Xenopus tropicalis: one gene and its partner. The protein of the gene in region 2 interacts with the protein of the main gene of each other region in a pairwise test. Links are inferred from orthologs where the notes say so. Each region holds a gene or a part of one and is shown on either strand. Other genes may lie near its edges. The genes, in order: dok2 and kifbp.

Region 1 (4,475 bases), on a different chromosome or scaffold from region 2:
GTGCCTATAGTAGCAGTGGGGGGATAATAGCCTCTGGGAAGGGACTGGGGCTGTGGGATAGCAGGTATAGTAGGAAGAGATGGTGCCTATAGTAGCAGTGGGGGGATAATAGCCTCTGGGAAGGGACTGTGGCTGTGGGATAGCAGGTATAGTAGGAAGAGATGGTGCCTATAGTAGCAGTGGGGGGATAATAGCCTCTGGGAAGGGACTGGGGCTGTGGGATAGCAGGTATAGTAGGGAGAGATGGTGCCTATAGTAGCAGTGGGGGGATAATAGCCTCTGGGAAGGGACTGTGGCTGTGGGACAGCAGGTATAGTAGGGAGAGATGGTGCCTATAGTAGCAGTGGGGGGATAACAGCCTCTGGGAAGGGACTGTGGCTGTGGAACAGCAGGTATAGTAGGGAGAGATGGTGCCTATAGTAGCAGTGGGGGGATAATAGCCTCTGGGAAGGGACTGTGGCTGTGGGATAGCAGGTATAGTAGGGAGAGATGGTACCTATAGTAGCAGTGGGGGGATAACAGCCTCTGGGAAGGGACTGTGGCTGTGGAACAGCAGGTATAGTAGGGAGAGATGGTGCCTATAGTAGCAGTGGGGGGATAATAGCCTCTGGGAAGGGACTGTGGCTGTGGGATAGCAGGTATAGTAGGGAGAGATGGTGCCTATAGTAGCAGTGGGATTATAGCCTCTGGGAAGGGACTGTGGCTGTGGGATAGCAGGTATAGTAGGGAGAGATGGTGCCTATAGTAGCAGTGGGGGGATAATAGCCTCTGGGAAGGGACTGTGGCTGTGGGATAGTAGGTATAGTAGGGAGAGATGGTGCCTATAGTAGCAGTGGGATAATAGCCTCTCGGAAGGGACTGTCGCTGTGGGGTAGCAGGTATAGTAGGGAGAGATGGTGCCTATAGTAGCAGTGGGGGGATAATAGCCTCTGGGAAAGGACTGTGGCTGTGGGATAGCAGGTATAGTAGGGAGAGATGGTGCCTATAGTAGCAGTGGGATAATAGCCTCTCGGAAGGGACTGTCGCTGTGGGGTAGCAGGTATAGTAGGGAGAGATGGTGCCTATAGTAGCAGTGGGGGGATAATAGCCTCTGGGAAGGGACTGTGGCTGTGGGATAGCAGGTATAGTAGGGAGAGATGGTGCCTATAGTAGCAGTGGGATAATAGACTCTGGGAAGGGACTGTGGCTGTGGGATAGCAGGTATAGTAGGGAGAGATGGTGCCTATAGTAGCAGTGGGATAATAGCCTCTGGGAAGGGACTGTGGCTGTGGCATAGCAGGTATAGTAGGGAGAGATTGTGCCTATAGTAGCAGTGGGGGGATAATAGCCTCTGGGAAGGGACTGCGGCTGTGGGATAGCAGGTATAGTAGGGGAGATGGTGTCTATAGTAGCAGTGGGGGGATAATAGCCTCTGGGAAGGGACTGTGGCTGTGGGATAGCAGGTATAGTAGGGGAGATGGTGTCTATAGCCTTTCATGTCTGCCAGTGGATTTTGCAGGAAGAGTTTGTTAGCAAGCTGGGAGTTAAAAAAATTAAAAAACTTTTGTTCTAAATAACGACCCATAGATTACCACGTCTGAAGCTGCCATACAAGACACAAGTCTTTAGGTGACTACAACTAAAATATAGCTACAGAAATTTTAACTCATGAAATTTTGTGTGTGTTTAGGCCTCACCCTGTAAGGCCGCACTCACACCCCATTATGCCTCTCACATCCAACTTCATAAACTCTGCCAAAAAGCCTTATAGGTATAGGGTGACATAAGGGCATAAGCATAGAGGAGACACTGACATATATAATTTAGTGTCTTGAAATCTTGGAAACTAAAATAAAAATAAATGCAATTTTACATTATACAATTAGGCCATTGCAATATTATATGATGTTAGAAATACCCAACAGCAAAAGGTGAAAAAGGAAAATGTACTCATTTCTATGGCATACAAAGCTCACCTTCCCAAATCGCTGCTGGTGCTGCAGGTGCAGAGCCCCTTGCTTCACAATTCCTCCATCCATTGCAGACCCTCTAGCCACCTTCAGTTAGCCTGAAACACTCTTACCAGCCTTAGTGTGCTTTCAGCTAATGCCAGCTTGTTCTTGGATGTCTAGCTCTCCTAACACGTTCTGATCTATATTAACAAGCATTTATTTATCCACCCAAACTCATTCACGGCTATTTGATGCCTTACCTATATTACTAAACTCTTCTAGAACCTTATCAGTTCTCCAGCCAAACTCTGGCCTAAGTCTTCTAGTATAATGTCAGCTTTCTAAGTAAACTCTTGCCTATATTTCCAAACTCAAATAACGCCCTCTCAGCTACCCTACCAAACTCTTGGCTATCGTACCAAACACACTCTTAGCTGTATCCTACCACATTCCCAGCTAGACTGTCAACCTCTTATCTGTTCTTTCATCTAGCCTACTTTACTAATCATGCCCAACCAATCTTACACAGTTTCCACTATCCTACAAAATCAAGATCTCTCCTATCTTTCCAATTCTCTTGACATGATTTCCGCTATCCTATAAAACTCCCACCAAGCCTACCACTTACTTATTATTCCATACTTACAGCAGTCTACCCCTTTGCACCTAAATTATTTTATGATTACATTTGCCCATCTAATCCTTCTGTGCTGTAATGGACAATACTCCTTCTTCTGTTTAAGCTCCCCACCTGCCTGCCCTGTCACATTACTCTCTCTCTGCCTCCCCCCCTTAGTGCTCACAGTGCTCCTACCACCCTCACTCCCTCATTTTCCAGGATCAGTGGTTTCCACCTTCATATTTTAATTTCTAAGCACTGCACTATATATTTCTCATTTTTAATGTAGCCTTTACTCCTTTTTGTAGCCTCCGCACCTCCTAGTTACTCGCCTGTCTGTAGTCTAGTCCGTACTGCCTCACTTATACCCCAGTGGCACCTTGTTGCCCAGTTTCACAGTTTTTCTCTTTCTCTCTGTCCCCTTTCGTGCAGTAGCTCTTATCCTAGGCAGCTCTTTCTTGCAGACTGTTGCACTCTCTTCCTCTCTCACAGGGTCTCAGTTCCTCCCTCACTTTAGCTTCCGCTGTGAAACAAACTCTGTCACAGGGAATATATGTTTGGTGCTTCAGTTTCTGAGCACTAATGTTTGCATAATGTACTGTGCATGGATGAAGCACAAATGGACTTCTCTTTAATGCATGGGTTTATGCTCACATTTTGCAGATGCCGAAACAGGTTTTATTTACTTGGCTTGTAATATAAACATTACATGACACATTAACCCCCCACAAAAAGATTTAATCAGTGAACAGCCTCTTTAAAATCTTTAAATACCTGCCACTCTGGCTGTTCAGAGGTTAATAGTAAGGCTGCAACATTCCCTTAAAAGAGAATGCAAGTCAAAATTTAAAAAGCATACTGCCCACTAGTCCTCCTAGCCACACTTTTGGCTCACCTAATCAAATAGTTACTCTTACACTTACTTCATATTTTCTATCTGTTTTCTAGAACAGGCAGCCATCTTTATAAAAGTATTCTCCCTTCCTTTCCCTCCTTGCTTCATACTGCACATGTGTTTCATTCCCCCTCTGGCAGATCCCCTTCTGATTGGCTGGTGGGCATGTGTAGCTCAGAACAGGAGACAGGATCAAGTTACACACATGTTCATTGCTACTGAAGGCTACTGCCGCTGGCAGCCTACAGGAAGGGAAGAGAGATTTCAGTGATGTCACTGTAGTCTTCACACTGCTGTAGGCTGCCAGCACCATATCTCAGAGAAGCAAGCAGGGATCTGGGAATTTAGATATGCAGTAAGTACTTACTTTGAATTTATATTAACCTTTCCTTGTCCTTAGGATTCCTTCCCCTCCTAACTCACTAGCCCCTCCCTTAGGAATTTACTTTGGCTGTTGGCTCCTGGGCATGCCCAGTTCTTCTCAACTCAGATTATTAAACATGCCCTCCAGTCTAGCAGCCAATGAAGAGAAGGCATTGCTGGTTTCCATAGAAACTCTGCTCTAGCTGTCTGCTCCTACTTTTGATCCTAACCTCCTCTCCGGAGTAAGTTCTGTGTAAAGGTGGCCATACACTGCCAATATCGGTCCATTAGACTGATTAGTCAGCTTATCGGCCCGTGAATGGGCACTAACGACGGGTTTGATATTTTGTCGGATCAGGGAACCGCATCGGCTTATTCATGCGGTCCCGGAACCAATGGCGCCTATACCCGCCGTTCTAATTCGATCGTATGGCCCCATGGCCGAATGACCGATTTAGCCCGACATTGCCCACCCATAGGTGGCGATATTGGGAGAAGATCCGCTCCCTTGGCGACCTTACCGAGTATGGCCACCTTTAGCCTGCATTCTTGATGAAATTTACATGGAATAAAGGTCTCTGTGTACATGTGCTGTTTGTAGATTTAAATGTCACTGATGATGTGTTCAAAAGGGAAAATGGCCGCTGGATGAAAGCTGCTATTTGTT
Region 2 (3,047 bases):
GTAACAACAATAAAGTTCTAGGCTCACATGTCAGTAACTTTTTGCCCAATTGAAAGCTGGAAAGGGGTAGAAGAGCAAATAACTCAAAAACTATTAAGAATAAATAATAAAGACCAGTTCCAAGGTTTCTAGCAATTGGACATTCTGTAACATACTAAAAGTCAATTTAAAGGAACAGTAACACTAACATTTTTCAATACAGATTTTACATCCAAACCCATCTAATAACTAGTCTACCGTAGTAAGACTCCTCTGCCTTAATTTGTTGACTACTAAATACACTTGTGAAATAAGTCACAGTGCTCTATAGGACCTACTAACGTTTGTCTATCGGGTGACCTATACTTTTAAAAGCTGTGCTGTGCACACTGCCTTGACTTATGGTTCAAAGCAGGCGTCAGACCAGTCATCCGTAACAAAGGAAGTTTAGTGGGAGTTTGTGTGCTCCTCTTGCCTTTAGTATTGGGGGGAGGCTGTGCAGAGTGCTGGCCTGTTCGGTGAAGGCTCCGTTCTGACAACATGCGGTCATAAATCCCTCATAAGTCTGCTGTGTCACAACAATATAACCGAGTGCCCAGAGGAGCATGCTGTTAGAACTGAGCCATGACTTTTTATGAAAGCCAAAGGAGACTGTGATATCCTTCTTTGATTTGCAAATTACAGTGGTCCACAAAGGCATAATCCTGCTACATTTTGCCAGTAAAAAGTCCGATTGGACCTGCTGGTGATGTGTTCATGTCTAAAAGGGTGGCATTTCTATTGTGTATTAAAGAGCTCCTATGTAACTGAGACTTTTGTTTTGTCTTTCGACAAAGGACAATATCGGAGAACTTGATGTAGACATTCAAGAAGAACTGAAAGCACAGAGACAAAAGGAAGAAGATGAGAAAGAAAAGGACAGAAAGAAGGCTATCCTGTTTGGGTCAAGCGATATATATGATTCAGTTCAAGCAGCAGAGGAAAAGGTTGAGTGTTCACATCCATTAGATTTTAAAGAAGCAAGGGAGGTGTTCCTTGTTGGCCAGAATTACATAAATGAATCAAAGGAATACTTTCAGCTAGATGGGCATGTCACTGACCATATAGAAATAATCCAGGACCATAGTTCTTTGTTTAAGCTTCTCGCCTTCTTTGAGGAGGATTATGAAAGGCGATGCAAAATGCACAAGCGTAGAATAGACATGTTAGAACCTTTATGCAAAGAGTTAAACCCACAATACTATCTTCTAATCTGCAGGCAGCTTCAGTTTGAGCTGGCAGACACCTCTTATGAGATGATGGATTTAAAGGTAGCAATAGGTAATAAACTAGATGAAATGGACACTCACACTATCAAAAAGATCAATAGTCTAGCACAGACAGCCATCAAATACTATGAAATGTTTTTGGACTCGCTAAGAAGCCCAGACCAGAAATTTCCTGAGAAACTCGAAGAAGATGTTCTCCGTCCTGCCATGGTGGCCAAGTTCCGCATTGCACGTCTCTATGGAAAGCTGATTTCCACTGATGGAAAGATACAGCTGGAAAACATACAGAAATCCTTAAATAACTACAAATATATTGTAGATTATTGTGAAATTAATAAAGAAGCCATAAAGTGCATTGAGACAGAGCTAGAACTTAGTAAGGAGATGGTGGCTCTTCTTCCTACTCGTATGGAAAGGCTAAGGATTCAGCTAGCATCATTTTCCTGAACAATGAGATGTTTGTTGTAAATATCACATGAAGACTGAGGTTTATGGTCTGTATTTATTGTTACCTCTATTTCCAGAACTAAACTCCTAGTTACTGTATGGTGGTTCCTCTGTCTACCATATATTAAATAAACACAAGCTAATGAGTGAATGTTAGAAAATAGACCTGGAAAATGCTTTAAGAGTTAATACCCCAAATGCTTCCATTAATGGACCAGTAAAAAGGAGGAGGAACAGATAACTTAGAAATATCCAATGCTGTTAAAGGTGACTAATAGCTTATTGCTAATATCTATTGCTGTTAAAGAAGACAAATATTACTAAGCAGGGAAGAAACATTTTAGGAATGTTTTGTGGAAGGCATAATCATTCGGTCTAGCTGGCTGTATTCTCCTTACCAAGCCTTGGCTGTATATACATTTGTATTTAAATTTGTTGTTTGGCATAGATGAAACATTGAAGGTTTAGCGTATTTTGATACATGGAAACTGCTTGTTAGCTCTTGCGCTATACAGATATAGGGAGAATGTCTCAGGAAAGCTGCAGATACATGTTAAAAAAAAAAAAAAACTTGAAGGAAATGTAAACTCAAATGTAGTTGGAATTGCCATTCACTTGTTTCTTTCTAGTTTTTAAGATATTAGCAATTTTTAAATTAATAATATAATGCATTTAAACTAATATCTCCACCTGCTTGGTCATTTTGGCCAGTTGTCTACAGTTACCTACAGTCACCTATTCCAGCAGGTGGTGCTGTTGTTTTACATTCATTATATTAGAAGTTTAAAAACTGCTAATATCTTTAAAATTAGAAACAAATCATGTACATTGGCAAAGGGGCGTAGAAAAGTGCCCAGAGCCATTTTACATTCATTTAAGGATTTACATTTTTTTAAGTGCTAGCTTCATGTACTTAGGTGAATTAATGAAAGCTATTCATTTATGCTGCCCCTACATAAGTTTAAGTTGTTACAATGAAAGTGACTCCACACAAAACCCTCTATAAACATGTTTCTTCATTATATAACATATATATAATATTTCAAATGATTATGTGTATTGCAAATGCTGAATTTTGACCAGTACAGTGCTTGAGTCAACTGTGAATACATGTGAGCCTGTAAGTTGGCTGTGATCTCTCCAGGCTTAGCATACCTTACTGTGTTAATGGTTTCCTTTAATATATTCAGGGGTGAAAGTCGCTGTTACAGGAGTGTGATATGGCTAATGTAATCCCTCACCTTGTCTTATTAAAATAAATTCTGAAATATCTGAGTTTCTTTTTGCATTGTGTTGCAGTAATGGGGCAAAATCCACCAGCCTAAGGGCCAACATTAGGTGGGAACCTTGCCA

The links.
Region 1: the proteins of kifbp (region 2) and dok2 interact in a two-hybrid assay, tested with the Homo sapiens proteins (2 studies listed by BioGRID and IntAct). The two-hybrid records come from large-scale screens. The link is inferred for Xenopus tropicalis from reciprocal best matches to the Homo sapiens genes KIFBP and DOK2.

The regions. Positions count from the first base shown.
Region 1 is NC_030679.2:129,458,862-129,463,336, forward strand, and holds the start of dok2 (docking protein 2), read right to left. Parts: upstream 3,040-4,475; 5' UTR 2,019-3,039; coding exon 1,956-2,018; intron 1-1,955. UniProt on the Homo sapiens protein: DOK proteins are enzymatically inert adaptor or scaffolding proteins. They provide a docking platform for the assembly of multimolecular signaling complexes. DOK2 may modulate the cellular proliferation induced by IL-4, as well as IL-2 and IL-3.
Region 2 is NC_030683.2:39,061,490-39,064,536, forward strand, and holds the end of kifbp (KIF-binding protein), read left to right. Parts: intron 1-815; coding exon 816-1,694; 3' UTR 1,695-2,264; downstream 2,265-3,047. UniProt on the Homo sapiens protein: Activator of KIF1B plus-end-directed microtubule motor activity. Required for organization of axonal microtubules, and axonal outgrowth and maintenance during peripheral and central nervous system development.